Linked DNA regions of Ovis aries. The protein of the gene in region 3 interacts with the protein of the main gene of each other region in a biochemical or structural test. Links are inferred from orthologs where the notes say so. Each region holds a gene or a part of one and is shown on either strand. Other genes may lie near its edges. The genes, in order: ELK1, PTPN7, MAPK3, MBP and GAB2.

Region 1 (5,382 bases), on a different chromosome or scaffold from region 3:
GCAACCAGCTTTCAACATGCCCAGTCTTTGTTCTACAGTCTTTAAAGTCTCTTTTAGAGTTTTTCACAGACCCTCAGCCTGTCAGACATTCTGTCACAGGTTCAGTGTCACAGTCACTTGCCCTCATTCACCCTTTGACATCCTGTAGTCACTAATTCACAACTGTTACTAGGCTCTCTGCAAGTCTCACACACACAGTTTCTCACAGCTCATCTTAGTTGTTTACACCATCCAGCCAGAGTATCCTGTACATTCAAACACAAATAGAGCCTCCCCGATTTCTTGCACAAACTGACCGCACAGTCTCTCAGTGTCTCATTTGCTCAGCTTCATTTTCTGTTTTTCACCAGCATGTAATCTCTGGTTTACTATATGAAATGTTCCACTCTCACACACTGCTCAGTCATCAGTTTTCTCTCATGTGGCGCTGACTTCCTTCTTTTACTCCTCGCTTCTCACTCACAGTGAAGTGGTCTCTAGCACACTTCCACTCACTCTGTCTCACCATCATCTTCTCTTATACCTCCATGGTCCCTGAACCTGTTGGCTAGATTGGAGTAGTAACTGCATCCATATGCCACTAGGCTCAGGAACACACACACACACACACACACATGCACACGTACACACACATTACAGCCTCTCACACTCTCTCAGCTGCAGCCACTTTTTCTGTTTCTCATGCAGTCTTTGCTAGTGTTTAATCTCACAGAAAGTTTTCATACATACAATCACGCATTCTGGTATCTTAAATCTCAGGCACCCATCTGGCCTCATAGCTATTTTCTCTCATACAATCAACCTCTCACACACACGCTCTCATTACTTTAGTTGATCCAACAGCCTTGCATGAACGGTTTCACACACAACCCATCTCCTAAACACTGAGTCACCTGCCTACTTACAATGAAGTTTCTCACCTATGCACTGTCCCTGACAATCTCCACTGCACTTTCAGGCCTATACAGGCTCTCACATGTTGTTTTGGTTACTCTCTCTTGCTCACCATCAGCTTGTCCAACAGTGACTGATGAGCAGTCCCCACTTCCTTCTCGTAAACATTGTTTCACACAAAGCACCAGTTTCTGGCATAGTATCTTAACCACTCATTCAGTCTTTGTGTTTTTTTACCACCCAGCCACAATTTCTCACATAGACACAATGTCAAGTTTGTGGTTACAACTTCTACTCTCTCAATACATGACTTCACAAATGTACATGTGCAATCACAGCTTGCCAGAGTTTTCTCTTTTTCACACACCTGGTTACCAATCTGTAGTCTTTACTCTTTCTGACACACACCATCATGCTCTCTCTCCCATGATCAATCTCACACCCTTATGGCCTTTCACACAAAGTTGTGCCTTTGCACACAGTTATTCCCAACGGCTTCAGGGAAAAAAATGCTACCAGCCTTCAGCATCACCTTTAAAAATATATATTTACAGGAACAATTCCCCATTCTCTGGGACTCTTAGAAAAAAAATCCATTTGGGAGGAAGTAAAACAAACAGTGGAGACAGGTGTAGCACCGTCCCCCAAATCACCAAGACCCAGGTCCCTAGGCCCGGGCTGGGACGGTGCTGATGGGAGGTGAACCCAGGAGTCCTCTGAACCCACCCTCCTCCAGCCTGGAATTCAGATTGAGCAGGCTTTATGTCCCTTGTTCCTCCCTCCCAACTCCAGGGACACATAAAGGGTCCTTTGTACCCGCCCGCAGGAAAATTGGGGGACTGGGAGGGAGTTGAAAATACACATTTGGTATCAAAAATAAACACTTGGGGGTGGCAGGGAGATCCCCCAAATCCCTTCCTTCCCACCCACCCCATCTCAGATATAGGAAGAGATACCTCCCTCTCCCTTATTGAAAAGCCCTGTTTAAAAATAGATTATACTATCAAAATGGCAGGGGGTGGGGGACAGGGAGACCTGGAGTACTGGCTGAAGGGGCCCCCCAGACGGGGACCACTCCCCCAAAATCCCTCCATTGGGAGGTAACAGGCAGGACCCCAGGAGTTTGGCAGACACAGGAATGGCTTCTCAGGGGGGAGAAGAACAAAAGGGGCATTCCTCCCTGGCCGAAAAGGTGGTTGAGAAAGGACAACCTATCTGAGAGAAAGGCTGGGGAGGTGGAAATTCCCATCTCCAAGGGTGTGAGTCTTCCTTGGCCAAGACTCCCAAACCATTAAATGGCACAAATTCTTCCTGGACCCTTGGGGAAGGCCAGGAATAATAAACTACAACAAGCTAGCTCTTCTACCCATACCCCAAAGTGAAGACAGGGCTCCCTCAGCTCCCCAAGGGCAGGCTGAGAAATAAATAAAGAAAGGCCTGTCTCAAGCCAGACCCCGATTGTCTCATCTTGGGGAAAAAATGTGGAACACGGGGGAGATGCCCTTGCCACCCCCTCCAAAAGAGTTGGGCCAGGCTCCTCCCAGTGGCCTTCAAAAAATAAATAAATAAACCGTCCCCACCACTGCAGTAGGAGACGTATAAGAGCGGCCACTGGGGGACTGATCAAGAAGAGAGAAGTTGTATGTTTTTTTTTGTGGAAGGGTTATTGAGAGATTCTTCTTCCTAAGAATCCCTACCCAACCACAACTGGAGCACGAGTCTGTCAGCTGAACTATGTTTCTCCTTGAGACAGCTGGCTGGAGAGAAGTTCAGGGCATGGAAGGAGTAACCCCAGAAAGGGGTGGTGGTGGTTGTGGTGGTGGTGGTGATAGTCATGGCTTCTGGGGCCCTGGGGAGAGCACCACGGGGGTTGAGAGGCCATCCACGCTGATGGAAGGGATGTGCACCTGCGCGCTGCCACTGGACGGAAACTGAGGACAGAAATAGGGAGAGGTCATGGATGGGGACCGTGCTAGGGTCACTCACACTTTCTGAGATCGGGGAGCTGATCCTACCTGGAAGGAGAGCTTGGCCGGGCTACGGGGTGCAATGGGACTCAGGGTGCTCCAGAAGTGAATGCTGGGGGGCAGCGAGCTGGGCGTCAGCAGCACCGGGGTCTGTGGGGAAGGGATGGTCAGAGCACAAGTGAGCAAGAGGGCAGCTGTGGGAAAACCAAAGGAACTTGGTTCTGGCCCCACCTGATTTCCCACTCATACTTCCAAGATCACTCCTCAAAAGTGCACAGGCCTAGACCATAACTACTGAGGCCATGTCTGTGACAGCTCTGACTTCACACAGACAACTCTAACTCCAGAGGGCCCACCCCAGGCAAGACCACCTCCAAGAGCCCACCCGCTGTTTTCAAACCTCACAATCCCAGTAGCTCAGGATCAACTTCCAACTCTTATCCCTGACCTGCATGCTGCTACTGCTAAGTCACTTCAGTCGTGTCCGACTCTGTGCGACCCCATAGACGGCAGCCTACCAGGCTCCCCCGTCCCTGGGATTCTCCAGGCAAGAATACTGGAGTGGGTTGCCATTTCCTTCTCCAATGCATGAAAGTGAAAAGTGAAAGTGAAGTCATTCAGTCGTGTCCGACCCTCAGCAACCCCATGGACTGCAGCCTTCCAGGCTCCTCCGTCCATGGGATTTTTCAGGCAAGAGTGCTGGAGTGGGGTGCCAGTGCCTTCTCCGCAGACCTGCATAACCTCACAGGAAACCCGCTGAGAAAATCTCAGACCCCAAAAACCCCACTCAGGTTCCTCAAGCCATGCCTCAACCCAGAAACAGTTCCTGCAGAAAGCCTCTTGGTCCCTGCCCACAAAACTCCCCAGAACCGCCCTTCTTTGGACACCTGATCCTTGGCATTGCAGACTCCTCCATCCAGTAGCAATCACGCCTGTCCCTCCACGCAGCCAATCCCACTCGAAGGCTCCACCCTCTCACTCTTTCCGAGGTAATCGCATTGGCCTTCGCGGTAAGTCTCCCTCCCCCACCCCGCGCCACCCCGCCCCAATCCCATTTGTTCCAGGTGCCAGCCCCGCCCCTTCAAAAGTGCTCACCAATGTGTGCGTAGGTAGCAGGGAAGGCGTCAGCGCTGGACCTGGCGCCTGTAGACCTGAACCAGTTCCCGATCCCGGAGTCCGTTCGGGTCCTGGTCCACCCAGCAGGCTCGGGCTGAGTGGAAGCTCCAGGTCCCGGGGCTTCCGGCCCTTCTGAGGCTGGGCAATCTCCGCGCTGGGTGTTGTAGAAGCCGTGAGGCCGCCCACCTGCGCCGCAGTTTCCATTACGACAGCGGACAGCCGGGCTGGCACGCCCTCTGCTGGAGGGACTTCTGGGTCGACTTTGGGCTCAAAGGGCTCGGCCTTGACGGCTTCCAGCACAAACCCCGCCTCCCCACTGGCTGCAGCTTCTAACTCTTCCTTGGGCTCTTCCACTTTGACTTCTGGGGGCAGTGGCCGGCCCAACCCAGGCTCCATGTTTGGCTCTTCGGATTTAAGGTTTGGGGCCTCGGGTGGGGTCAGGATGACCTGGGAGAGGAACGAGTGCAGAAGGGATGCCTAAGGATTCCTGGGGTAGTGAAGCCAGTTATTTCCCATGGAAAGTGGGACCTGAGAATAGGGGCAGGTCCTTTAACAAGATGTGGTACTTTGCCAAGAAAATGGGGCTTCTGGTCCTCTTATCTGGGTTGCCTTCAGGGGTGGGACTCCAGGAAATACTGCCCCCATGTATAAAAGCAGTGGTTCTCAAAAATTTGCTTTATGGACCAGCAGCATACACCTCATCTGGAAATTTGTTAAAAATGTAGACTCTTGGGCCCATCCTCAGACTCACATAAAGAAAAACTCTCGGGGTGTCCCTCAGCACGTCTGTCTTTAAAAGCCCTCTAAGTGCTTTCTGATGAGTGCTAAAAGTGTGAGAGCCAGTGCATTAAGCAAATACATTCAAGGGCACCTACTACATATTGGGTGTACTGCTAATTGTAGTGCACTCAATTTCCTTCTTCCTTCCCAGGGTTTTGAATAGTTTTCCTCCCCATCTCTTTCTCCAAGGGGACTTCTGTGTCTCTCCTTCCATTATATCATCTTTAACAGGACATTATGTCCCTCCTCTTCCCAGTCCCTCTCTTCATTTGGGAACTGTACATCCCTCCTCTTGCTGAAATTCCATATTCCAGTCCTTACCTGCAGAGGCAGGCCAGCCTCCTCAGCTTCCAGGCAGGCCTCCAAGGGGTTTGGACTGGTGCTCCTGCTCCCCGAGGGAGGCACTGCTACTCCTGCAGGGCCGGTGTTGGGGAGCACTGTGGAAGGTCGAGGGTGAGAGGGCGGTTGTGGCTGCAGGGACTGGATGGTGAAGGTGGAATAGAGGCCTGAGCGCATGTAATCATTTCGGCTGCTGCGCGCCAAGCCACCTGGGCCTGCCATTCCTGCACCCTTGAGTGTGCCTGGCTTCCCAGAGGCAGTGTCCCCGGGGATGGCGTGTACAGCT
Region 2 (6,248 bases), on a different chromosome or scaffold from region 3:
GGTGGGTGGTGAGCGCGGGCCTGGGCTGGCCCGGACACACGCGTCAGGGACGCACACGCCAGGAGCCCCGCGCTGGCCGGGATAGCCAGCAGACCGCGCGTCATGCCCACCCAGCCGCGCTGGCCGCTGCGGTGCAGGTCAGACTCGACGCAGCGTGTTGCGTTGAGGCTTTCCGGGCCCCCGTGACTGGCCCCTTCCTTCCTCTGCCTTCTACTAGCACCGAAGGTGGGGAGGACCGTTGCCCTTTGGCTTGCTACTTAGTGGAGTTTGCCGCAAGGCGTAGCACTCCCCTGCCAGCCCTTTTTCTCCCCTTCAGGCTCCTCCTGCTCCTCAGGGGACGGGGGATCCAGACCATTCCCTGGCCCACGCTTCACCCCTCAGGCCCTTAGTTCAGTTCAGTTCATGTCTGACTCTTTGCGACCCCATGGACCGCAGCACGCCAGGCCTCCCTGTCCATTCCCAACCCCTGGAGTCTACTCAGACTCCTGTCCATCGAGTTGGCCACGCCATCCAGCCACCTCACCCTCCGTCGTCCCCTGCCCCTCCCGCCTCCAGTGTTGCCCAGCATCGGGGTCTTTTCAAAAGAGTCAGTTTCTCCGCATCAGGTGGCTGATGCGGGCTATTCACCTCCGCTCCCGGCCGGTGTCCCACCCACTCAGAGCCACGGAGGGCTCGCGTCTGCGCCTGCCGCCTCCCACCCTGCAGGCCGGAGGCTGGGCACTGGGCACTGGGGACAAGTCTAGGCGTGGAGTCCACCTGGCCTCCCGGCCTCTGGTTCCTTAATTCCTTGACTTAAGCTGCCTCCGAGAAGGAGGGGCCGCCTGGAGTAGCGAAGGCAGAGGGGAGGGAGCTGGCCGAACGCCTCACTGGGCTGCGGACCTGGGAGTCTTGGGCTGGAGTGGCCAGGGCAGCTCTCCACGGAGAGGCTGGCAGGTGTGGAGGACCAGGGGCAAAGGGGACTGGGGTCTTCCTTCCAGCTCCTGACGTCTGCTGCGTGCATCCTGGCCCGTTCCAGCAGCTTACGGGGTTGGAGCCAGGACACCAGGGGCTCCGCTGGGCTGGGTGGTGTCCTGGGGCGGGGGTGGCTCTGGACACAGCACCCCCTTCCCAGCCAGGAACTCACCCGAATGTAGTTGGCGTTGATGTAATCCCCGTCCTCCTGGCTCTCTGCCCGACCCAGACAGACTCGGCTCTGGGGGTCTAGAAGGGAAAACCAGCAGAGGTCAAAGAGCGACCAGCAAAGCAGCCACATCCAGGGCCGGCGAGAGGACAGCCCTATGCCTGTTGAGGCGCCCTCGAAGAGCAGGGGGTCGCAGAGCGTTCCTGAGCAGCAGAGGCCTGAGGCCAGGGCAGTGCGGGGAGGCCTCGGGCGGTGCCAGCAGGACGGACCGGCGGCAGGGGGCAGCTACTGAGCATTCCAGCCTGAGGGTCAGAGAGGGGCGGAGAGGGGTCACAGCAATAAAAACGGAGAGAGATGTTCGAGGAAGAGCTTTTCCTGAGCGACCCCACTGGAACTCAGGCTCCATCCCACACCCGCCTGACCCCTTGAGTCAGCCTCTAAGGGGGCCTTTCTTCAGCTCCAGTCCGGGCCCGATGAAGACGCTGGCTCCCAGGGGCCAGCTGGTCTGGGTGGAGGGCACCTCGGGGCCCAGAGCAGGCTGCCCCCATCCCTTCCGTGGGCACTAACAGGCTAGCAGCGGGCTGCGGCCTCCAGACTGGGGGCTGCTGGTCAGATAAGGCTGCTCTTCGCGGAGCAGGGAGGAGACCTCGTGGTCAGCGGGCCTCGTGGTCAGCGGGCCCCATGCGTGCCTCCAAATACAGGAGGTGCTGACCCGGGTCTGTCAGCCCCATGAACCCTGCCTGCCGCCTCCTGCTCTGTCTGAGATCCTCAGCATCTCTTGGGAGCCGTCCAAACGGGGCTTGTCCCCTGCAGACAGTGCGGGCCGTTTCCCAGGCAGGAGGAACAGGAGGAAGGGGGTTGGTGCGCCTGACTATGTGACCTCAGGTGAGCTACGCGGCTTCTCTGTAACTCGGTTTCCTCATCTGTAAAACGGGGGTCAGGGCAGCACACACCGCCTACCCGGGGCCGCGCTGAGCAGTGCTGGCCCATGGTCCGGGCCTAGTCTCAGGCTGGCGTGATTTCTGCCCCCCTTCCCTGGCCAGGGCCAGGCGGGGGCACCCCTCTGTCAGAAGAAGAGGCCCCACGCGGGGCAGCCCCCTCCTGGCTGGGGCTGCGTCTTGCCCTCTGAGCGCCTCCACCCCGGCCCCACCGCAGTCCTTACTTGGCAAGATGGTCTTATATCGGTCCTTGGAGGCATGGCCAGGAATATTCAGGTCTTCGGGGCTAACGAAGTTTGAGGGGATCCTCTGGCGGGGGCGGGGAGTAGGTGTGTGAGCAGCAGCCCCCTTCCCGGCCTCCCTTCCCTCACTCCTCTGGTGGAGGGGCCCCGTTCCCTCCTGGCATCGGGAGGCAGGTCTGGATGGGGTGCAGGGAGAGGGTGGAGCCGTCTCCTTCCTGGAGCCCCTGGGGTTCTGTCTCCCAAGGGCCCACGGGGACAGGCCTGCCAGCTGCTCCTGATCCAGAGGGGCAGTGACTCGGGGGGCCCTCGTTCTCACCAGGAATTCCTCTTCCAGCTGCGTGGGGCTGGGCGGCCGGTGCTGCAGGGCCTGCCGGCTGAGGGGGCGTCCGGCGGAGCGCAGGAAGTGCAGCGTGACCTCCTGGGGCGTGCGCACGGAGCAGATGGGCTCCACGGCCCCCAGGGACCGCACATCCAGCATCAGGGCCACGTTGGAGCCGCGCCTGCAGCAGGGACAGCGTGGTCGGCCTCAGCAGCCACGGCTGTCCCGGCACCGCTGACGGCGGGCTCCCTGTCTCCTCGCCACCCCGAGGCCCAGGCCCCCGGCACCCCTGCCCCTTGTTGGCCAGTGAGGAGGCTCCAAACCCAGCTGCCGCCTCCAGATGCCCCCACTTCCCATTCCTGGCTCGGCCCCTAAAGCTCAGGCCCACACCCAGGCCTGGAGGCTCCGGGCCCCTCGAGGGGTGCTCAACCCAGCCTGGGGCTTGGGGCGCAGGCGCAAAGCTGACACAGATATGCAAATGAGCAGTTTGGTTTCCTCCGCCTGGGGAGGCGCGGGGGTCCCGCCGCAGGGGCAGCGGGGGGCAGCGGGCTCGGCCAGGCCTTCCTGAGAGGGTCTCACCTCTCCTGCAGCCGGACGTGCTTCCTGGCTGGGGCCTGGTCAGGCGGAGGCTGGGTCATGGCTGCCTCCGAAGGCGACTGTGAAGGCGACGGGGAGGCCGGGGCGGCGCTCTGGAGCAGCCCCCGGGCCGGGACCATGCTGGGGGCGCGCCCGGGAGCTCACACGGCCATGTGGCCTGGCCTCTGGGCTGTTGGGTGGCCTTCTGCCCTTGGGCACCTCGGGTCTTCTCGCTCTTCCGTTGTTCCCCAGGAAGTGGCGGCGTCGCTCTGTGGGAAGGCCAGGATCTCTGCAGGGGCGTAGAGTGGCGGCCGCCTGGGGTTAGCGCGGGGGCGAGATAAAGGGTCACGACGGGGGCCGAGATAGGACAGATCCGGAGGAATCCGGAGGGGCAGGGGCTGGGGGGTGGGCGGCGTGCAGCCGTTCTGGGTGGAGGGTGGGCTCACGACCCTGGCTTTGCAGGGGCCTCCTCTGGACAAGAAGGTGGACCTCCGGTGTGCTTAGGGCAGCCGGCCCTTCCACCCAGGGTCGTCCCGGCCTCTGGGGTCTCCGGCCCGGGAGGGGGCCTGGGGGTGCTGGCTTCCTCCCGCCCATCCCCCGCCCGCCGCAGTAACTGTCACAGGAAGTGGCCTCACCGAGCCACAGCTGGGGGCACAAGCCGGGTGCCTCACCGAGGGCACGGCCCACCTCCAGGCCAGGGCCCGGCTTGGAGCTGAGAGGGGTGCTGGGGTCGCCGCACCCATGGGGTCTGAGTGGGCAAGGGCGGTCACAGCAGGACGCCTGTCTGCCCTCCCCGCCCCGCCATGCCCGCGCGCCCTTGGGGCCATCAGCGGCGGCGGCGCCCCTGCCCACCTGGCGCGGGACCCCCTGGGCGCCCTCCTGCTTGCCCTCCCGGGGCCGCCCTCCCGGCCCTCCGTGTCCCTCAACCCGGGGCCCCAGGGCTCCTCCCCGCCCCGCAGGTGCTTACGAGGCGGCTGTGTCCCCAGGCGCCTCTCGCCAGCTGTCTGCCTGTCTGTCGGTGTGTCTCAGGGCTGGGGAGGCCTCAGGAAGCCCGCTTCCTCCCCCCGCCCCTCCTCGCTGCCACCCACGCACACCCAGCTGCCTATTGCCACCAGCGGGCCAGTGGCCTCCCGCCTCTGACCCCGCGGCCCAGCCTGTCCACACCTTGGCCACAGCCCGGCCCTGACCACTGCCTCCCCTGCAGGGCTTCTCCTCCGGGCTCTGGTCGCCTCTTGCCTCTGCCTGCTTGCTGGGGGAAGCGGGGCCGACCCCCACCCCAGGCTGCCCCCCGGAAGCCCTTGCCCCTTCAAGCTGCGGGAATCCCAGCAGGAACAGGGAGAAGCAGGCACACACGGGGATGGGGAAGGGGGGCAGGAGTCTCTCTCCATGAAGGGAAAGGCTCAGGCCAAGCCACAGGGTCAACCTCAGGCCCCCAGCTCCGAGCGGGTCTGAGCCAGGTCAGCCACTCTGGAGGTAGGCAGTGGAGACACCTCGTGGCAGGGTCTGGGGGCTTCCCCCTGCCCCCAGCCCCACAGGCCTTTTTCCAGAACCCTGACTTCTACTCAGCGACCCACAGAGGGTGGGCCTCTGGCTCTCACACAAGGGGACCCCCATGTCTGCTTTGCTGCTGGGGCGCTGGGAGCCTGGGCCCTGGGTAGGGGAAACCCCAAGACCCCACTGCCCTGCCCCTGGCTCACCTGGTGGGCTTCTTGACATCCCCGACACCTGCCCCTCCCCTCCGGGGCCCACAATCCTGTCCTCACCCCACCACCCACTTCCCTGACTCAGCCTTCAGAAGGTGACAGCAGAAAGCGCTGGGGACAGGCCTGGGGTGGCATGCAGGAGGTGGGGGGCTGCCTTCAGGCAGGGCAGGGTGGCCCTCTGGTGCTCAGGGGCCAGGCCGGGGACGCCCAGGTGGAGGGCATGGGGCAGGAGTCTGGGGACCCTGGCAGATCGGGGGGCGTGGCCTCCAGCTCAGCCGGCCGGAAACCCACCCGTATTTCCACTAGTGGGTAGCGGGGGGCCTGGGAAAGGAAAGGGGGCAGGAGGGGGTTGGAAAGAGGGCCACCCTCTCTGGGGCAGGCTGCTGATTCTTATCACAAACAGGAAGCTAGGATACCGCAGGAGTGGGGGGAGGAGGCGGGGATGTGTGTCCCGCACTACACCGCCAGTGCCCCCAGGCCCCCAAGGTCTGAGCCTGCGGGCTGTGAGCGCCCCTCCCCTCAGGGTTTGAGGGGCTGCAGGCAGAGGTTTTGGCTGGAGAGCTGGGGGCCCAGAGGTGCAGCAAGTGGGCGGGGGCGGGGTGGGCAATGGTTGGCGCCAGGTCAGGCCCCAAGCACGGCTCAGTCCCTTTGGCCGTGTTTGGGGGCGACACTCACCTTGCCTCCTGCTCACCCCATGTCCCTTTCTGCTTAAGAGATGCCTGGACTTCGCTGGAGGTGCAGACACAGCTGGGGGGGGCCGGGTGCCAGCAGAAGCCTCAGAGAAGACAGGGTCCTTCAACATCCCCCGGCCTGGCCTGGGCCCCGTCCGGGGTGGACTCTGCCCATCCAGGCTGCGGGGTGCAGGCAAAGGCCTGGAGGCTGCGGGAGTGACTCCCGTCCTGAGCCTTCCCTGCTCCTGGCGTGGACCTGCCCCGACGGCAGCTCTCAGGCCACTCACTCCTCCTGCCAATGTGCGTCAGAGCTGGGTGGGGGGCACAGGAAGCCAGGAAGCCCCTCCTGAGCCCTGCTGAGACGGGGGTCCCTGCTCCTCCCTGCTTCTCAGGAGCCCTCTCCCCAGGGGCCGAGGAGCGCCCCTCCCTCATCGGTCAGAGGGCGGGCCCAGGGGTGCTCGGAGCCGTCCAGTGGCCCCAGGAAGGGGTGATGGGGCTGAGGTCTCCGAGCCGCAGCTCAGCAGAGCCCCGCACCCTTCCTCCAGCCGCTCCCCAGGTCCAGGGCTGGGAGCCCCAGGGTCTTGAGTATTGCGTGTTGTACTGGTGTATTGGGAATTTCCGGTTCCTGCAGCACCTGCCTGCCCTGGGGTCAAAGGCGGGCCCTGATAGAGCCCCCGAG
Region 3 (6,316 bases):
TCGGGATCAGCAATCCGGGCAAGACCGAAATCACAGATCTAGAATGCAAACCAGGCTGCTGAGCTCAGTGCTCAAGGCCTCCTGGGCCCAACCAATCCTATCACCCATGTCTCTCCTACCCATGGCAGGAAGGGGACTACTGGTCACCCTGAAGCCTGAGACCCCAGGGGCAGAAGGAGACAGGCACGCAACCCTCAGACCTTAAGGTCGCAGGTGGTGTTGATGAGCAGGTTGGAGGGCTTTAAATCCCGGTGGAGCACGTTGGCGGAGTGGATATACTTCAGGCCCCGCAGGATCTGGTACAGGAAGTAGCATACATGGTCGTTGCTCAGCTGCTGGCTTTTGAGCAATTTGTACAGGTCTGTCTCCATCAGATCCTGCACGATGTAGCTGAGGTGGGTGCCAGAGGCCCCCCAGGTGGGGGCAGTGGGAGGCAGTTGGTTAAGAAGAACAGACTCTGCTGACCAGGTTTCACATCCCTCCAGCTGATGCCCCTGGGACTCAACAGATCTGCCAGCTCATATCATGAGCTGGGCAAGGCCCACACTTAGCAGGTGAACTCAAGGCCTCTGCTGGATCTCAGCTGGTGACCCTGAGCAAAGCGTCGCAGTTCTGTAGCCTCAGTCTCCCTATTGAGAAAATGGGGATAATAAACTGGGAAGCAGGAGAACGTCCCAGCTAAGAGCAGTAACTCTGGAGTTCACCTGCCACTGTCAATCATTCCTGCACTGGTCATTCATTCACTTTAGGAACTCAAGCCCTGTCTGCGCCTCTCTTCCTCATCTGTAAAGGGGAAAAAAAATCCTTTTTAGAGAGTGGTGGTAAAGATTAGTTGAGAGATGACCCAGGCAGTGCAGCCAGCTTGGTGCCTGGCACGTTGTAAATGTTCGGCAAATGTGAACTAGTATTGCTGTTATAAAAGACTGAGCCACATGGCTGTTGAGAAGGTTAAATGAGATTATGTATGAACACCATCTGGCAGGCAATAAATGTTTGCTTAAAAATAAATGCCTGCCTTATGGGGATGGTTTGTGCAAGACGAATGAGGAGAAACTTCCCAGCGGCACGCTCCTACTCCGGGGGCTTGGCCCTACACCCGAAGACAGAGGAGTAAATGTCCTTTTATACTCTAAGATAAAAAAAGAATTAAACATAAACAAACAAATAAACGTCATGTGGGTTGTTTCTGGAAGACTCAGTTATGGCTGTCTTTCAGAGTCAGCCTCAAAAGGGCCTTCCGAGAACACCTGGACCAACCCTGCTATTTTAAAGATGAAGAGGCCCGGCATGCTGCAGTGACTTGGTTAAGGTCACACGACAAGCTGAGGGTGAGTGTGGAAGTTTCCTGCCCACAGTTTGTGGTGGGGGCTGCAAACAGTGCAGTACAGATCACCACTCTTGGGGGAAGGACTGGGATGGTGGGGGTGGGTGGGGTAGGGGAGAGGTGATGAGTGTAAAAGCTCCTAACAGAGCCAGGCAGGAAGTGGACCCACAAACTAGGAAAGCAATGTGTGTGTGTGGGTCGGGGGGGCCACAAAGGCAGGTCTGTTCCTCCCTGGGCAAGGTACGAGTCCACAGGTGACTGGGGTGGGACTCTGAGCAGGAAGTCCCAGAGAGGGGACAGGTTCTTGTCTGGGGGAGGGGAAGAGGCAGCCACAGAAGCACTTGATTTTATTTCAGTTTTCTGAGCCTCAGTTTCCTCATCTTTGAAATGGAGCTGCTGAGACCCATCTCCTAGGGCAGTTGGGAGTTAGAATAGGAAATGTCAAAGCACTCGGCTTGAGCTGCACCAGACTCACAGTAGGCCCTCAAAACAGGGCAGTGTTCTTCCCGCCTGCCTTCCTGCCAGTCTGAGGACCCAGAGAAACAAGAACTGCCATCAGTTAAACAGAAGAGCTGACTGTGGGCAGAGGCTGGATCTCCTCACAGAATTGCCGATGTCAGAGGACAAAGCTTCCACAGGGCTCATCTTGCCCAGCCCCCTACGAAGCCAAGATCGAGAGAACAGACTTGCCCAAGGCCACACTGCCTGGCCGCAGCAGGCCAGGATTCATCTGAGGCCTCTCTGCCTTCTTACACTGTGGCCTCTTGACCGCTGGAAAGTTTCCTTTACTGGGTTTGTTTGGAGGGAGGTTGGGAAGAAGGGAAGAGAAAACAAGCCCCTGTTCTCCCAGCCCGGCTCTGAGGCTGGGCCTGGCCAGCCGTCTGGCCCAGGTGAAGGATACACATCCCTCATGGCTTCCAGGGTGGGTGCTCGCAGAATGTCTCGGATGCCAATGACATTCTCATGGCGGAAGCGCAGCAGAATCTGAATCTCTCGCAACGTGCGCTGGCAGTAGGTCTGATGCTCAAAGGGGCTGATCTTCTTGATGGCCACTCGAGTCTTGCGCACGTGGTCGTAAGCTGAGCTGAGAGGGCCAGAGAGATGTTGGTGTCCAGGCCCGGTGGCCCCACCCAGGCCTTGGCAGGGCGGGGAGGGAGCAGGAGAGGGCTCTGGCCAGTCATAAACAATGCTAGTTCCTTCCTGCTGTGAAGGCCTGGGATCTCCAGGGAGAAAGCTGGGGACCAGCCAGCCAGCCCTTCGGTGACTTCACAAACAGAGGAAGAGACTGACCGCTCACTGACTTCCCCTCTCCTCAACCCTTTCCATTCGAGCTGCCCTGACCCCTCATCCTCCCCTTCCCACGATGGGCTCTCTCAAGCCAAGACGGGTCCAGGGGGTGGGAGATGTGGAGGACTGGACAATGAGGCAAATACAGTGAGAAGGAGGGAGTCGGAGGAGGGACTGGAGAGAAGGGAGAGGCAGGGCCGGGGCGGGTGTCAGGGGGAGGTTCCTGGGCAGCAGAGCTATGTCCAGCTGAACAAAGGCCCAGAGCACCCAGTGCGGATAGGAGAACTCACAGACCCCTCCTAAAAGTTGCAGGAAGGTGTTCCTGGACCCCTCATGGCTCACTGGGTCCCTGGCCCCAGGCCCAAAGCCCCACCCCACCCCACCCAGCCCTGAGCTTTGCTCTTTTTTCCCAAACTCCTTGGCAAGCCTCACTGGGGGGTGATCCAAGACATCCTCTCCCCAGTGAGGGGACCCTCTCTCCTTCTTCACTAAGGATATCACCTCCCCAAGAAGACTAATTCTCTTCTCCTCACCCCGTGATTATGGGGTCCCCAAGGTCCCCAGAGCTCCCCCACATACACTCTGATGCCCTACCCTTCATTATTGAATAGTCAGTTCAAAGCTCCCAAACCTCCTCTCCTGAGACCTTACGCAGTGACCCCCTCCCCCAGAAAGCACTCAAAGGCCCTCCGCCTGGGACGCTCCCCAGCCTCCTGAAGCCCCGGCTTCTTCAGGATGCTCAGAGTCCGCAAGGCCCAGAGAGCTCTCAGCACCCCTCTCCGCCCCCTCCCCAGAGACGCCCCCTCCCCCAGAACGCCCCTCACCTGACCATGCCGTACGCGCCCTCGCCGATGTACTGCAGCTGCGTGTAGCGCGGGCCCACGTCGAACGGCTGCCCCTTTACTATCTCCACCTCCCCCGGGACCCCCGGGCCGACCCCATCAGTTCCCCGGGGCTCCCCGCCCCCGCCCCCCTGAGCCGCCGCCGCCGCCGCCATCTCCACTCCTCCCCTCCCGCCCGCCCGCCTCCCCCCGGCGGCCCCGCCCGAGGCCCCGCCCCTTCCCGCCCGCCCTCTCACCCGCGGAGCCGCGCGCGCCAGGCCCCGCCCCCGTCCGCCCCCGCGGCGTCACGTGACTCTCCCCGCCGCGCGCGCGCCGTTTTCCCGCTGCTGGGGCTGTGGTCCCTGGCACCTGTCGGCCTCGTCTGCTCCAGTCAACGTAGAAGCTCCCCAGGGCAGTCTCGAGACTGTCCAGACCCTCCCCCCCCACCCCCGCCACCGAATGCTGACCGGTAGGGCGGCCCGGTGACCTCACCCAGAGCCACCTAGCAAATGAGTGCTGGAGCTGGGACCCAGACCGGGCCACGTGGCCCCGCTGTGCCCACTCGGCCCGAGGAGTAGCCCGGGGCTCGAGGTGGAACCTCCTGGAGCCAGGCCCGATGCCGAGTGATATGATGCTTATTTCATAGTAGCCGTGACAGGTGGCTTCCTCACACATGGGGCCTCTTTCACAGATGTGGAAACTGAAGGTGACTGGGCAAGGTAACTTGATTGCTGGAAAGCCCAGGCATCTTGACTCCCTGCCTAATGGTTTTCGAATGGAGACCTGTCAAAGTGGGCTAGGGACCGGACCTCAGCAACCTGGCAGTGCCTGTATCCTGAGGACAGATAATCCCAGCCTACCTTTACATGGAGGCATAGGGAAGAGGTGAGGGCTGCGTGGACTGGGTTTGGTGAAAAATACACTCTCAGGCTTTACTCAGAAACAGCAGGATAGCTAACATTTTTGTTGTCCTTGGATTTGACAAAAATTGGAACCGAGATCATCATCTTTTGCTCCTGTGCTAGACTTCATAGTTTACACAGCATTTGGTCCACTTTAATTTCTTCATTAGAACCACCCCACAGTGTAGGTGTCATCTGGTTTTCTGAGCTGGATGAGCAGAGGGCCATGTCTGTCTTGTTCATTGCTGTAGCCCCCACCCACCCCCATCCCTACAGTCAAATGTAGACACTCAAAAATTTTGGAATAGGTGAATCAAAGTTTTACAGAATGGGAAATCTGAGAGTTGAGGAGCTGAGACTAACATGTATCTTCTGACACACAGGCAGAAGTTCTTTTTAATTGCATTCTGTCTCCCAGACTGTTAAACTGAAGAGACCATCCAATCCATCTCCACTTCACAGTGAAGATGTGAGCTGGGAGCTTCACAAAACACATCTCCTAGGCTTCAGGAAGTAATCACGTTGTTTTTGTCTTCCTTGGAAGCTGGGAGTATGTCCTTGTATGCACTAAAGATCAAGAGACAAAATGGAACAGAAATTATGATTCTGAAATTGCTCATAATTAGATCTATGGTCAGGCATTCTAATTCAGATTAGTAACACTGAGAGTTGCTAGTTCCCAGGAACCCACAAGTCAGTGAAGGTTCAAGATGTGCTAATTAGATCAATGGGTTTTTTTGTTGGTGGTGTTATTCATTTGATAAGCTATTGACTGGCACTGTGTGCAAAGCTCTGAGCTAGGAACTAGGGCTGATAAAAGATTACTGGATAGTGTGAATTAGTAGTTAAGAGCAAGAGCTCTCTGGAATCAGGTTGCCTGGATTAGAATCCCATTTAGGCCACTTGTCATGTTATCCTGGGCACATTACCCCACTGGCCTTTCTACTTATGGAGTTTCTCTTCCACTGAAGATGCACAAACAGAAATCACTGTAATCCAGAATGGATGGGTGTAATATGTAGGGTACGCTCAGGGGTGGGCAAGATCACTCTAGGGATCTCCCGCAACTGTTAGGAATCTGGTTGCGCAGCAGGAGTGAGTGGCAGGCTAGCAAGGAGCAAAGCTTCATTTGTATTTCCAGCGACTCCCCATGGCTCATGTTACTGCCTGAGCTCCACCTCCTGTCACACCAGGGGTAACATTAGATTCTGATTGGAGCGTGAACCCTACTATGACCTATGCATGCAAGGAATCTAGGTTGCACATTCCTTATGAGAATTATCATGAAACCATTCCCTACCCTTTGTTCATGGAAGAACTGTCTTCCATGGAACTGGTCCCTGGTCCCAAAGAGGTTGGGGACTGCTGCTCTACAGAAGTGAGGAGGGGATAACCGAGCAGGTAGCATTGCATCGCTAAAAAGAAGCAGAGTTTCAGGTCAGGATAGAGCAAAGGCTTCAAGAAGAAGGAGCAGGGTGAACCATGGCGCGGAGGCAGGAGCACGAGTTGTCCAGTATGTCTGCACTATGAAGGGTTAAGGGGAGTTTAGGCTGGAGAGGTAGGTTGGGGCCACATTGAGGAAGGCCTCTGATTCTGGCAAGGAGTTTGGATGTTACTCAGTAAGCAGCAAAAAGCCTTTCAGGGACTTTTGCCAGATCATTTTGCAACTACAGGAGAATATAGTGACTCAGAGAAAACACCATGGAGTTCAGCATGGAGCCAGGTTTCCTGAGTAGGAGTGAGTTTCCCGGCATGGGAAAGGCTGGTGTATCCGGAGGGGTGCCTGCCACCTCAGTGGTATCTGAGTCTCCTTTCGAGCCGTGTGACTGAGATTGCCCTCTAGTGGCCGAGGTTGGTACTTTCTTGGAGATTGTATTGGGATTTCCCAGTCTATTCCATAGATTCGTACTCAACTAATAGAGACTGAACCACTATTCTGTGCTAGACACTTTTTAATAGTTGGAGACGTCAGTATTGTACTT
Region 4 (6,507 bases), on a different chromosome or scaffold from region 3:
TGTCTGCTTTTATTTATACTCACCACCATGGGAGTTCTCAGTTCTCCTTATCTTCCTCAATACTTGGCACAGACGGTAAGATCTTTACAGATGGGTATAAAAAATTATCCCATTGATGTGATTTCTGCTTCTGAGAACTGGTGGGTTAAACATCCCTTCCCATTTTCCTAGCCCCCCTGGGCTTTCTCTTCTGGGCCAGCCTGCTCAGTTACTTCTCCTCTTGGGTGGTTTATTTTGCTGAGTCTTAGAATGTTTGGTACATTCCAGATACTTCACCCGAGTCTGTCTATCCTCACTCTCCGGGCATCCATCTTTTTTATTATTATTATAATAGAGCCTCACACTTACTCAGTGATGCTCAGAGTTCTGATCCATATTTATGAATTTTTAACAGTTATTGACTCTCAGACACTGCTAAGAGCTTCATAATATGCATTACTGGTTATCTTTTCCCGGCTGTAACGTGAGGTTGGCTCTTTCTCTGGAGGCAGCTTCAGCTTGTGCCCGAGAGCTCCGGCCTGAGGCCTGCAGGCCTCTCTGGCCCCGGTTCCTCACGTTAAGTCATGCGTGTGTGTCTCTGCTGGTTCTGCTTCTGTGGCTGAAGCCTGAGGCCACGCATTTAGGAGGACGTTGGACCAGCAGGGCCTCCCCACGTATAACTGCTGCTGTTTTGCGGTGGCTCAGTCGTGTCAGACTCTTTGCAACCCCATGGACTGCAGCACACCAGGCTTCCCTGTCCTTCACCATCTCCTGGAGCTTGCTCAAACTCCTGTCCATTAAGTCAATGGTTCCATCCAGCCATCTCATCTTCTGTGGTCCCCTTCTCCTCCTACCCTCAGTCTTTCCCAGCATCAGGGTCTCTTACAATGAGTCAGCTCTTCTCATCAGATGACCCAAATACTGGAGCTTCAGCATCATTATAATTACTGTTGGTTAAATTACTGTACACTTACTGTTGATTAAACCCACCTCCTGGGGCCCGCAAGCTCAGGCTGATTTAAGCTTCCTTCAGTGGCTCTAAAGGACCAGTGGAAGTGATTCACTGCTTGTGATGACTTACTAAAAACCGTGCTGAGGCATTAGAGAACTGTCTTTCCCTCTTTATTGATATCTTTGCTGAGGAAGTTAGGGAAGAGGTGACGAACAGAGACGAGACAGCAGCCTTCCAGTCCCACCACCCTGCAGAGGAAGCACGCTTTGCTGGGTGTAGCCACCCGTTAGTGGTGGGGTTTTAAACAGAAGTGAAATGAAGCTCAGTTGTGTCCGACTCTCTGCGACCCCGTGGACTATCGCCCACCAGGCTCCTCCATCCAAGGAATTCTCCAGGCAACAATGCTGGAGTGGATTGCCATTTCCTTCTCCAGGGAATCTTCCCAATCCAGGGATCAAACCCAGGTCTCCCGCACTGCAGGCAGGGGCTTTAACCTCTGAGCCACCAGGGAAGCCAGAGAAGAAAAAGGCAGCTCGGTGGGTGTTGCAAGTTGCCCTCTTCGCCCTGAAGGGCAGCAACAGGGGCTGGTGTCAGATTTCTGGAACTGAGCCCTGGGCGCCCCCAGGGGATCTCTGTGCCTTGGTTTCCTACTCAGTGAAAATGAGAGTTCTAATAGGCTAGTTACATCAAATGAGGGCATCCTAGGGTATTACACCTGTTAATGCAATGATACGCAGCTCTCAGAAGATGGCCTGGCCACTGGGAAGTGGTCAGAAACGCTACCTGGATACCTGGGGAGAAAAGGCCCAGGGACAGCTGTGATCCAGTGTCAGATTTTTAAAGACTCGAGAGAGAAACTAAAAGTCAAACAACGTAACCTCCCATTAATGTTTAAAAATTCAGGAGGAAAAAGGAAGAATCGCCAGAAACCTTGGTCTCTGCCCTTTTCCGCCTTCATGGATGCCTTTCCTCAGGGCAAGTGGCCAGAGCCATTCCCAGTCCAAACCAGGCTGGAGCGGTTCAACACCAAATCACAGCACAAGTGACTCAAAAGTGTTCTTGTCTTTGGGCAGAAATGGGATAGTTTGGAAAGTTTTTAAAGTGAATTTGAACCAAATAGCTTTTGTTTAACCCTGAGTTAGTAAAGGTAGTCATTTCGGAACAGTTAAACCATTGGGAGCTACTATCAGCCACCATTTTACATAATATTTAACTGGATTCCCTCCTTTCAGGTTTTGGTTTATCCCATTTGGAAAAAAAAAAAAAAGTTGGAGAACAGACGGCCCCTCCCCTGAACTGGGAGAAACAGCTGTGAGGCTGCGACCCAGTGCTGACCATCCCTTCCTGAAGGGCTGCTCCGGCCTAGCTCCGTCTGGGTCTGCACCCCTCTCAGCTCCCCACGTCCACGAAGGCCCCCAGCACTCCAGCGTGACTCTGCCAGGGAGCCGGGGGCAGGACTGAGCCCAGCTCTCGGGGTGTCGCAGACTCCTGGGCCATACTCTGCAAACCGTTTCCCTGGGCTGGGGGGTCTTGTCCAAAAGCCACATGTCTTAAATGGGACACACCCTAAAGCGCCCTTCCTCTGAGAATCTCTCCAGGCCAGGTGTGGAGTCCCTGTCAGAACAGCCAGCGCCCCCAACCGGGTCTGGGTCTCCCCAGACACACTCCAGCCGCGCTGCAGAGGTTGTGAACTCACGGTATGGACTCCCTCACCTTGTCGCTACTGGAAAACAGAGAACCAGAAACCCAAAGGCGCTTGTTTCCTGCCAGAGTCCTACTGAGATCCCCAGAGAAACTCCAAGGCTTCTCCAACCCCACCCTCTGCCTTCCGAAAGGAGAGGAGAAAGGAGAGCCTGGGAGAAACGAGGCAGTGCCCCCAGCAGTCCAGAGGAGCCAGAGCCACCGGGTGCCTGGGGATCGTGCAGAGCACGCGGCACCCTCGGGACGCCGGCCAGTCCCGGGCCCAGGGGGGGCTTCACACCCGGGCGCCAGGCGCGCAGGTGGGCGCAGGTGGACGCGGCGGCGCGGCGGAGCCAGGCCAGGCCTCCGGAAGGCGGAAGCCCGGAGCGTCGCCTGTCGCCGCCCTCGGCGTTCAAAGGGAAACTGGTTTTCGCCCGGGCTGGGGGAGGGGGCAGGCAGGAGTCGGCGGTAAGCTCCAGACGTATCCTTACGGGGCGCGTTAAGCGGCGGGTACCCCGGCCTGCCCTGAAGCTCGCAGCGGTCCCGCACCGCCCAGGGTGGCCTCCTTGACCTTTGCCACCTCCCACCCAAAACTCCACCCCGAGCGCCTCCTACGCTCTGCCCGCGACCCCGGCCCCCGACCCGGCCTTGCCCACACCTGGACACCCGTCGGGGACAGCCCCGCCGCTCCGGGTCGGCGTCTACACCCGCGCTCACCCCTCGCAGAGTGGCCGCCCGGGTGCCACCTGCCGCCACCTGCGCGGCCGCCCGGGGAAGCCCTGCGCCCCGTTCCCGCGTCCCCGCTCCGAGGGCGCAGACAAAGGCACCCGCCCGCCCCCGGCGAGGTCACCCACCGCGCGGCGATCGTCTCTCCAGGCCGCGGGCGCCGCGGGGTCCGGGCCGCCTCCCGCCGCCGGGGCCCCAAGCGCGCGGGGTCCCGGGGCTCCGGCGCCGCCTTCGGGGTCGCGGCCGCGGTCGCCGGGGCCGCAGGCTCGTCCTCGCTGGCGCGGCGGCGCAGTCTGGCTGCAGCTCCGAGGGCCCGGCGCGCCCGCCGCTCCTCCCCCGCCTCCCGGGCTTCCTGCGAGCCAGGTAAACACTGCCTTCGGGAGCCGGGCCTCCCACCTGCCGCCCGCGCGCCGACCGCCTCTCCGCGGCTCCGCCTCGCGGGCTCCGGGCGCACGCGGGCCCCGCGCGGGGCTGCCCTGGGCGGCGCGGACTCCGGCCCGGGCTGAACTGCGGCTCTAGAGCCTCCGCTCGCGGCTGAGCCTGCGAACCACCCCGCCCGAGCGCGGGGAGGGACCAGCGATAGCATCTGCTCCACGCCCCGTTCCGCGGGCGGCGAGGGGCCAAGCGCGGCCGCCCGGCTGACTCTGCTGCGCGGGCTCGGGGTTCAGGGCCGCCGCAAGACTGGCCCCTTGAGAACGCCCGGAGGTCCTCGTGCATCCAGCCTACAGACAGGTGCTCGCCGGAGAGCGGCGCCACAGCGGGAGGGCGCGCCCCGGGGTCTGCGGCCTGAGCATCTGTTGGCTTGCGGTCAGTGTCGAGTTCTTGGTCCGAAGGAAGACTGTCCTTTGGACGTCAGTCACCTGCACACAGTCAGATGGCCCTTCCCCCGACCCCCACCCCGGATTCTCGACCTCCTGATGGTGGAAAAATAGGAGGCGTTGGGGGAGACGCTGGAGTCCTCACGACTTAGATTCCAGGTCGGGGGTCTGATCTGATAGTTCCCGGGAGCCGGCGGGGACCCTCACTGTTTCCCCGGGGGAGCGGAAGTCTGACCCCTGGCAAGGCTCAACCCGGGTCTCCTGGGCGGGCAGAGCGCGCGAGGAGAGCCAGCGCCCAGTGTGGCTTCAGGGCCACCTGTCCCAGCCAGCCCTCACAAACCGGGGGTCTGTGAACCACGTTCCAGGGCTGGTAATGCCACCAGAACGGTGTCCACCATTGCAGAAACATTTGCTTCTTTCCTCGGAAAAGATTCGTCTGGGGGTTTCTGGAGTTGGAGATGGGAGGTCAGGAAGACAGCTGAGCAGTGACGCGGGCTGTGCAGAAGGTGAAGTTTACCTGTTTCCCGGTTTTCTGTGGGGCCTTCCCTCCTTGCAGTAGAGGGTGGCTGGGTGCCGGTAGGGGAGCTGGAGGAATCCAAGGACGCTCAGGGCACTGACAGACCCCAGAAGCTCCCTGACTCCCAGGTCCCTGACTCCAGTCACTCTTAAAATGCAACCCACCCCCCACCCCCATATATACTAGGTTCCACATGGAAGTCAGTTTTAGGTGGCTCAGATAGTGAAGAATCCACCTGCAATGCAGGAGACCCCAGTTCGATCCCTGTATCTGGAAGATCCCCTGGAGAAGGGAATGGCAACCCACTCCAGTATTCTTGCCTGGGAAATCCCACGGACAGAGGAACCTGGCTGGGCTACAGTCCATGGGGCTGCAAAGAGCTGGACATGACTGAGCGACTTTCACTTGAGCATCACAAACCACATCTCATCTGCTTCCCCCAGATGTCTTCCTGGAGTGACCAGGAAACAGGAGGATGGCCTTCTGACCTGCACAGGTCAGTGAGGGCTGAACACTGGGGAGCCCAGGCCACAGGGGAGCAGCAATGTTTGCCCTGCTGCCTGCTTGTAGAAACGTCACCGATGCCAGCAGCCATCTCTGCAAACGGCAGTCCTGCCAAGTTCCAGTTAACATGGTCCTTACAGTGTTTATAAAATCCCACCATGCATGTACTGGGGGATGTAATGCCCCCTGATTCATGGGAACTTCAAGGACAGTGTACACGAGGGAGCAAGGAACACGATAAAGTGATGAATGGGTGTTTGGCGGGCCCCTCGTGCTGGTGGGAGGAACCAGCGTGAAGGAGGCAGAGGGGGCCGCTTCCCCTTGGGGCTGTGGGGTCACACTTCACATGAAGATGGTCTTGCGTCTGTGAGCACGGTGACAGAGGTTTATGTTACTAATTTCAATAAAGTTGAAATGGGTCTTTTGACAGGTAAAAGATAAACTATCCAAACCTCATTGTCTCTGATATTTCTGAGCAAGGTATACGACCACTCCCCCTATCCCCCACTGCTCTTCATATGATGAGAGGAAGGAGCCTTCCGCATTTCATGTTGGAGCAGGAGCACGAAGTTTCCTGCATGGTACACACTCAGTACATTTTTATTCAGTCCAGTTAAATCTCCAAATTACCCAAACTGAAGGAAGTCAGGAAATTAATCTAAATAATGTCCAGGAGACCAGACTGCATGAGTTAAAAAATCCCTTCATCAACGGATGTATCTTTGGAATTATATTTTTGCTTAGACCTAGAATCACTTTCATCTCTGGTTTGTGATGAATAGTTGCTGGCGATACCCACAAAGCAGATAGTCTACTTGTACACTATTGAGGCTTGATGGTTCTGCCATAAATTCCAGTTAATAACCGAACAGACTCCACTGTAGATGTGAGTGCCAGAAAATTAGGTGCATGAATTCCATAACGTGTAACAGAAAAAGTTATGTAAACAAGGAAAACATTTGAGAGAGATCTCTTGACCACATGCGCGCACATACACACACACAAGCCACCTGTCACTTCTTTTTATCCAAGAAATAAAAAGGCAAGGAGATTTGTACAACTTTCGTTGTGTGGGAAAAAACAAACAAAAAACATCTTTCATGCCTTTTTCTACCATCAATTTGTTGCTTTTGTATTTATACAAAAAGTGTGTGTATATATACATATGTATCTAGCATTTTTCTTTAAGAATAGCTTAATTTTATTAATAAAAATAAAAGCAAACTGCTTTCCGTAAGACCCATTCACTCTTGAGCTACAGAAGGATATTCTGGATTCAGCATATTTTTGAAGGAAATGTGTACACACACAATAGATATCATCCTCCCACT
Region 5 (5,712 bases), on a different chromosome or scaffold from region 3:
ACAAATAATCCAGACCAGAGCTTCTCAAATTTCAATGTGCCTACAAATCACGTAAGTATCTTAATACAATTCAGAGGGAGATAGAAAATTTCCTTAGGATACCATGGTAATAACGGTTACAAACGTGATTCACTGATCAATGCTAAAATTAGTGGGCAAAATTTTAAGCAGAAATGGGGTATTTGCACACCATTAAAGTACTTCCTGCAAAATATTTATTAACTGTGAAAGCATAGGTAGCAGCTTTACAGGGGAAGAAGGTGTCAGATGCCATCTTAACCAAGTGATGAAGGCAACACGACCAGTAATAAGGTATATTGATACCATGTGTCTCCTGATACAACGTGCAGAGAAAAGCACACTACCTCTGTGGTAGTCTCCGCCAAACCTTAATCTGATCATGAAAAAACATCATACAAATTCAAACTGAGGGAGATTCTACAAAATATCTAGCCAGTATGCCTTAAAAGTGTCAAGGTCAAAGAAAAACAAGAGACTAAGAAACTGGCATCCCAGATTGGAGGCCCTAGAGGCAGAACCACCAAATCTAATATGCTATCCTGGACTGAATCCTGAACAGAATAAAGACACTGGTGGAAAACAAGTGAAATCCCAATACACTGCAACTGACTGTCTTGTACCAATCAACATTTTGACAAGTATACTCTGGTTAAGAAAGATGTTAAGGTTAGGGAAAGCTGGATGAAAGGTACATGGGAACTTGCTGTACAATTTCTGCACCTCTTCTGTAAGCTCAACATTATTTCAGAATAAGAAACTGAAAAAAATATGCAGATTCTGATCCTGTAAGTCTGAGTGAGTAGAAGTCTTCTGTCTTCGTAACAAGTTCCCAGGAGAGGTTGATGCTGCTCGTCCATAAACTCCACTCTGATAGTAAGAGTCTGAATCAGTGGTTCTCAAACTTAACCATGCATCAGATTACCTGGCGGGCTGGTTAAAACACCTCCAGAGTTTCTGATTCACTAAGTCTGGGGTGGGGCTTAAGAATCTTCATTTCTAATGGGTTCCCAGATGAGGCTGACGTTGCTGATGAGCTAGAAACAGTTTTCATGTTTTTAAAGGGTTCTAAGAAGTTTACAAAACAGGTATAGGAATCAGAGATTGTATGTGGCCTTCAATTATTTACAGAAAATGGATGCTGAGCCCCAGACCCTTGCCACTTGGTGTGAAGCTTTTAAAAGACTGATGCCTAGGTCCCACCCCTGACATTCTTAGCTAACTGATGTGATATGGATCCCTAGCATCAACATTTAAAAAATGTTCCTCTTTAATTCTGATATGTAACCAGGTTTAGGAAACTACTAACTTAGGCTTTCCATCTGCCACACACACAAAAAGAACCCTACTCCTCAATCATCCTAGAGTTGTGGATGAGCCCAAACAAATGGCAAAGAGCATTTCTGCAGCTGAAGCCTCACTTAAAAATGGTGAGCTACTCTTTCTGTGAAGGCTAACAAAATCTGAACACAAGTCAGAATCTCCCCCTTCTCATGTGTCCGTTTCCAGGGAAATATAAAGAACAGTGGATTGTGCATCAACAGTACTCACAAAGAATCCCACACCTCCCCTTACCAGAAAAGCGGCTAGTGTAACTATGCACGTTGTTCTGAAACAGGAGTGGACAGAGGATGCATCAAAGAAGAGAGCAAGGTGCAAGCCGCCCGTGTGTGGGTGACAGGTTAACCAGGCACAGAGAGCTGGAGAGCTGAGGGGAGAAAGGGCAGGCCTGAGACACGGGGTGGCGCGGAGGTACCTGAAGAAATACCAGCAGCACCTCGAGCTTCATCATAACCCCAACATGCCTGCTTTCCACATGAGCAGACTCAGGGCTAGGAGGACCTCCACCCTGTGGCCAAGCCCTTCAGACTCCTCCCCTCTGCCTACTTCTCCCCCACCTCAGAGGACAGCCTTTAGCTAAAGCCTGCCCTGCTGTTCAAGGAGTCTGAAGGCCGTCCCCTTGGCCCCAGGGGCCCAGCCACTGCCAGGAGGCACCTGGTCCCTGCTGAGAAGCGTCTCGTACCTGTGCTCTCTTCTGCCTGGTTGAAGCCGCAGATCTGGCAGATGCTCTGGACCCACTTATTCATGTCCTCCTCCGTCTCGGCCACCAGGTAGAAGGTGCGCTCGCTGGTCTTGATGTCGAACACGAAACTGTCCTGCAGCTCCTTCTTGTTGAAGGTCAGGCCTGCATCCACCTGCTCGCAGAAGTTCAGGTTGATGATGCGCAGGGGCTTCTTGGAGTGATCATTCTTGTAGTATTCCAGGACGTCGGGGTCACCACTCATCCGGCCGCTCCGCAGGATAAACCAGCGTTTCTTCCAGGCCTGAACGGGAAGGAGTGAGAGCAGGGGGAAAGTCATGAGTCAATTCAAAGCTTTTCACAGGTCCTCAGATATCACCAGGCTAAGGGTGGGGACTGCTGCACCTGCCAGCCGAGCGTGGCCTCTGTCTCCTTTTTGTGCTTTCCCAGAGTTTAAAAAACAGCGGATGACTTTAGCATACACATTAGTGCAGCATTTCATTACTGAAACAGGGTCTTATCACTATGAAACGAGATACGTCATTTCAAGAAGTCAGATGAGGACTAACACACTTTACACAATTATTCCATTAAGCTAGAATACAGCCTCAAACTCACAGGACTTTTAGTCAGGGTGGAACTTGCAAAGCCATAACATCTCAGTTTACGGATGGGGTCCCCCACTAAGACAGACTGAGTTGAAGCCACAACGTCACATACAGCAAGTAGCGGAGAAAAAAGTTTCCAAGCTTTCAGTACCTGGTGCTTTTTACCCAATCATGATGCCTTGGAGGAACCACACAGAAACCCTTCTAAAACCTCCCTGAAGCACAAAACTTCAGAATTTCCCCCATCTCAGTCACTATATATAGTGGATAATACTATATCCCTAGTATTTATAATACAGCCCTGTACATAATAAGCACTCAATATACATTACTGAATGAATAAACTCCTTATGTCATGCCATATTATAGAATTTAACACTCAGTTACACATTTCCTTATGTTGTCTACATTCCCTGTCTTCAATGAGACCGAGTAATCTGTGAGCAGACATCACACAAAGTGGTAAAAAGATATCACAAATAAAACAGAGCCTCGGGTGGAGTCTGTGCTTCACCACCGACTAGCTGTGTGATTTTCACATAAAGTTATTTACCTCTTTGGAGCTTGCTTTATCTACAGAATAGAATACCATCACCAACTGTCCTACCTACCTTATAGGGTTTATACTGCACACAAAGCACTATGATGCAACCCTGCTGCTAAGTTGCTTCAGTCCTGTCCGACTCTGTGCGACCCCATAGACGGCAGCCCACCAGGCTCCGCCGTTCCCAGGATTCTCCAGGCAAGAACACTGGAGTAGGTTGCCTTTTTCTTCAGACGGCAGCCCACCAGGCTCCGCCGTCCCCGGGATTCTCCAGGCAAGAACACTGGAGTAGGTTGCCTTTTTCTTCTCCAATGCATGAAAGCGAAAAGTGAAAGTGAAGCCACTCAGTCATGTCTGACCCTCAGCGACCCCATGGACTGCAGCCTTCCAGCTCCTCTGTCCTAAAGCGCCACTGATGCCAAGGATCATCGCGGTTATTTAGACCTCACTGGGACTTCACTCCATGAATCCTGGCACCTTGCACTCTCCCCTTCTGTCTCCATCCTCACTTCCTTCCACCTGCCTTGTTCCTGTGATCCATCATTATAATCATTCTCTTGCTTCTCTTCCTCTCTTTATCTAGGAAACCATAACCTTTGACTAAGTCTAATGCTTAGCCTACTCTGCCTGTTTCCACTCAGCTGTTCAGAGCTGGAGAAAATCACACAACCACGCTGGCTCCTCTCACTTTAAGCTCAAGTGAGCCCTCCTGCTCCAACAGTCTACTACATTTGTCTGGTCCCTGATTTTCTGTTGCTCTTGGCAATCATCTGAACCTTGCCCTATTTAAAGCTGTAGCACCTCCACTCTTTGGTATGAGACTATACAGGCAAGCAGAAGAGAATCTACACATGTTCCATCCCCGTATTTACCAGTCTGCCTGCATTATAGCAAAGCAGTTTATTACTGTGCAGCATGGATGGTTCATCCAGTCTAAGGCCCACTTTCTTCCGCCAGAGCATCACCCCCTCTCACGACATGGGGACAGCACATGGCATCTTCCCTCCCTCCTAGGATCATTCCCATCAGGACACCAACTTGTCCCATCTCAGAAAAAAAAAAAAAGAAAAGTTTGACTTGATCCCACATTCCCTTCCAACTATGGCCCAGTTTTCTGCTCCTCTTTACAGAAAAACCTCAGAGATTTCTACAGTGTTAATCGTTGTTTCCTCTCCTCCCATTCTTTTCTTGGAAGCAATACAAGCAGGCTGCCCCCAACCCCCATCTCCTTCAACAGAGGTCTTAAAGACTTCAACACAAAGCAACATTTGGATTTTACTTGATCTCTCAGCAACATCTGAGAAAGTTTACTATTCCATTCTCTTTGAAGCATTTTCCTCATTTGGCTTCAGTGCTCACTCTCAATTTTCCTACCTCCCAGCTTCTCTTTTTCAGCTTCCAGTTCTGGTTGCTCCTTGTCTCACTGACTTCTAAAGGCTAGAACGCCCCCATGCTCAGTTCTTAGACTCTCCTCTTTCTATATCCTCTTCTTAGGTTATTTTATTTCATTTCACAGCTTTAAAAGTCATCTAACTGCTGTAATTCGCAAATTTATAGCTCCAGCCCAAACCCATCTATAGAACTCCAGAGTCTCATACCTGCTCCTCACTAATAGGCATCTCAAATCTTTCTTTAAAAACATATTTTATTTGTCTGGCTGCATCAGGTCTTAGCTGGGGCATGAGGAAGCTTTGCTGTGTCACATGGCATCTTTCATCAAGATGCATGGACTCTCTAGTTGTGCGCGAGGGCTCAGGGGCAACACCGCTCAGGCTGGGCTGCTCCACGGCACATGGGATCGTAGCTACCTAACCAAGGCTCGAACCCGCGCTCCCTGCTTTGCAAGGCAGATTCTTAACCACTGAGCCATCTGGGAAGCCCTGGCATCACAAACTTCCTTTAAACCGAGCTCTTCCCATCCTCCGAGTCTGTTCTTCCCGCAATGTTTCCCATCTCAGTTACGAGCAGCTCCAACCTTCCAGCTGCTCAGGCCAAAAATCTGGATGTCAGTCATCAACTTCCAAACCCAAGAGCAAATCCTGTTGGTCCAAACAGTTTCAAAACACATTTACAACCCGGTCACTCCTCCACACCTCCACTGTTACGCACTTGGTCAGGTCCACCGTTCGGCCGCCTGCCTGCTTCCATGCTTCCATCTGGCAATCTGTTCCCAGCGTGGAAGCTGGTGTCAATCAGAGCATAGCACTTCTCTGCATTAAGTGCCCTCTGGCTTTCCACTGCACTCAGAGCAGAAGCTGAAGTCCCCGCAGTGGCCAGTGAGCACTGGGCGACACCGCCTCACCCACAGCTCTCCCCTCAGCCCTGCCCCTCTCTGCCGCGCCCATTCTGCTTGAGCCACGCTGGCCACACACTCCTGCCTCAGGGTCTCTGCTCTGGCTGTTCCCTCTGCCTGGAACACTCCTTCGCCACATATTCCCATTGCTTATGTACTCCATCAAGTCACTATTTAAATGTCCCATTACTGGACAGACTGTTTTTCTGGCTGCCCAATCGTCACACTC

Evidence for each region.
Region 1: of the proteins of MAPK3 (region 3) and ELK1, one has a biochemical effect on the other in vitro, tested with the Homo sapiens proteins (6 studies listed by BioGRID and IntAct, with this or other methods). The link is inferred for Ovis aries from reciprocal best matches to the Homo sapiens genes MAPK3 and ELK1.
Region 2: the proteins of MAPK3 (region 3) and PTPN7 form a complex in vitro, tested with the Homo sapiens proteins (3 studies listed by BioGRID, with this or other methods). The link is inferred for Ovis aries from reciprocal best matches to the Homo sapiens genes MAPK3 and PTPN7.
Region 4: of the proteins of MAPK3 (region 3) and MBP, one has a biochemical effect on the other in vitro, tested with the Homo sapiens proteins (5 studies listed by BioGRID). The link is inferred for Ovis aries from reciprocal best matches to the Homo sapiens genes MAPK3 and MBP.
Region 5: of the proteins of MAPK3 (region 3) and GAB2, one has a biochemical effect on the other in vitro, tested with the Homo sapiens proteins (2 studies listed by BioGRID). The link is inferred for Ovis aries from reciprocal best matches to the Homo sapiens genes MAPK3 and GAB2.

Annotation. Positions count from the first base shown.
Region 1 is NC_056080.1:57,189,945-57,195,326, reverse strand, and holds the end of ELK1 (ETS domain-containing protein Elk-1), read right to left. Parts: coding exon 5,079-5,382; intron 4,425-5,078; coding exon 3,957-4,424; intron 3,012-3,956; coding exon 2,910-3,011; intron 2,826-2,909; coding exon 2,727-2,825; 3' UTR 1,423-2,726; downstream 1-1,422. UniProt on the Homo sapiens protein: Transcription factor that binds to purine-rich DNA sequences. Forms a ternary complex with SRF and the ETS and SRF motifs of the serum response element (SRE) on the promoter region of immediate early genes such as FOS and IER2.
Region 2 is NC_056065.1:79,809,227-79,815,474, reverse strand, and holds the start of PTPN7 (tyrosine-protein phosphatase non-receptor type 7), read right to left. Parts: upstream 4,218-6,248; 5' UTR 4,163-4,217; intron 3,511-4,162; exon of another isoform or gene 3,485-3,510; 5' UTR 3,336-3,484; coding exon 3,199-3,335; intron 2,801-3,198; coding exon 2,617-2,800; intron 2,368-2,616; coding exon 2,283-2,367; intron 1,201-2,282; coding exon 1,124-1,200; intron 1-1,123. UniProt on the Homo sapiens protein: Protein phosphatase that acts preferentially on tyrosine-phosphorylated MAPK1. Plays a role in the regulation of T and B-lymphocyte development and signal transduction.
Region 3 is NC_056077.1:26,690,538-26,696,853, reverse strand, and holds the start of MAPK3 (mitogen-activated protein kinase 3), read right to left. Parts: upstream 3,631-6,316; 5' UTR 3,609-3,630; coding exon 3,436-3,608; intron 2,409-3,435; coding exon 2,226-2,408; intron 391-2,225; coding exon 201-390; intron 39-200; coding exon 1-38.
Region 4 is NC_056076.1:2,416,838-2,423,344, reverse strand, and holds the start of MBP (myelin basic protein), read right to left. Parts: upstream 3,939-6,507; 5' UTR 3,924-3,938; coding exon 3,734-3,923; intron 1-3,733. UniProt on the Homo sapiens protein: The classic group of MBP isoforms (isoform 4-isoform 14) are with PLP the most abundant protein components of the myelin membrane in the CNS. They have a role in both its formation and stabilization.
Region 5 is NC_056074.1:15,344,098-15,349,809, reverse strand, and holds part of GAB2 (GRB2-associated-binding protein 2), read right to left. Parts: intron 2,343-5,712; coding exon 2,042-2,342; intron 1-2,041. UniProt on the Homo sapiens protein: Adapter protein which acts downstream of several membrane receptors including cytokine, antigen, hormone, cell matrix and growth factor receptors to regulate multiple signaling pathways.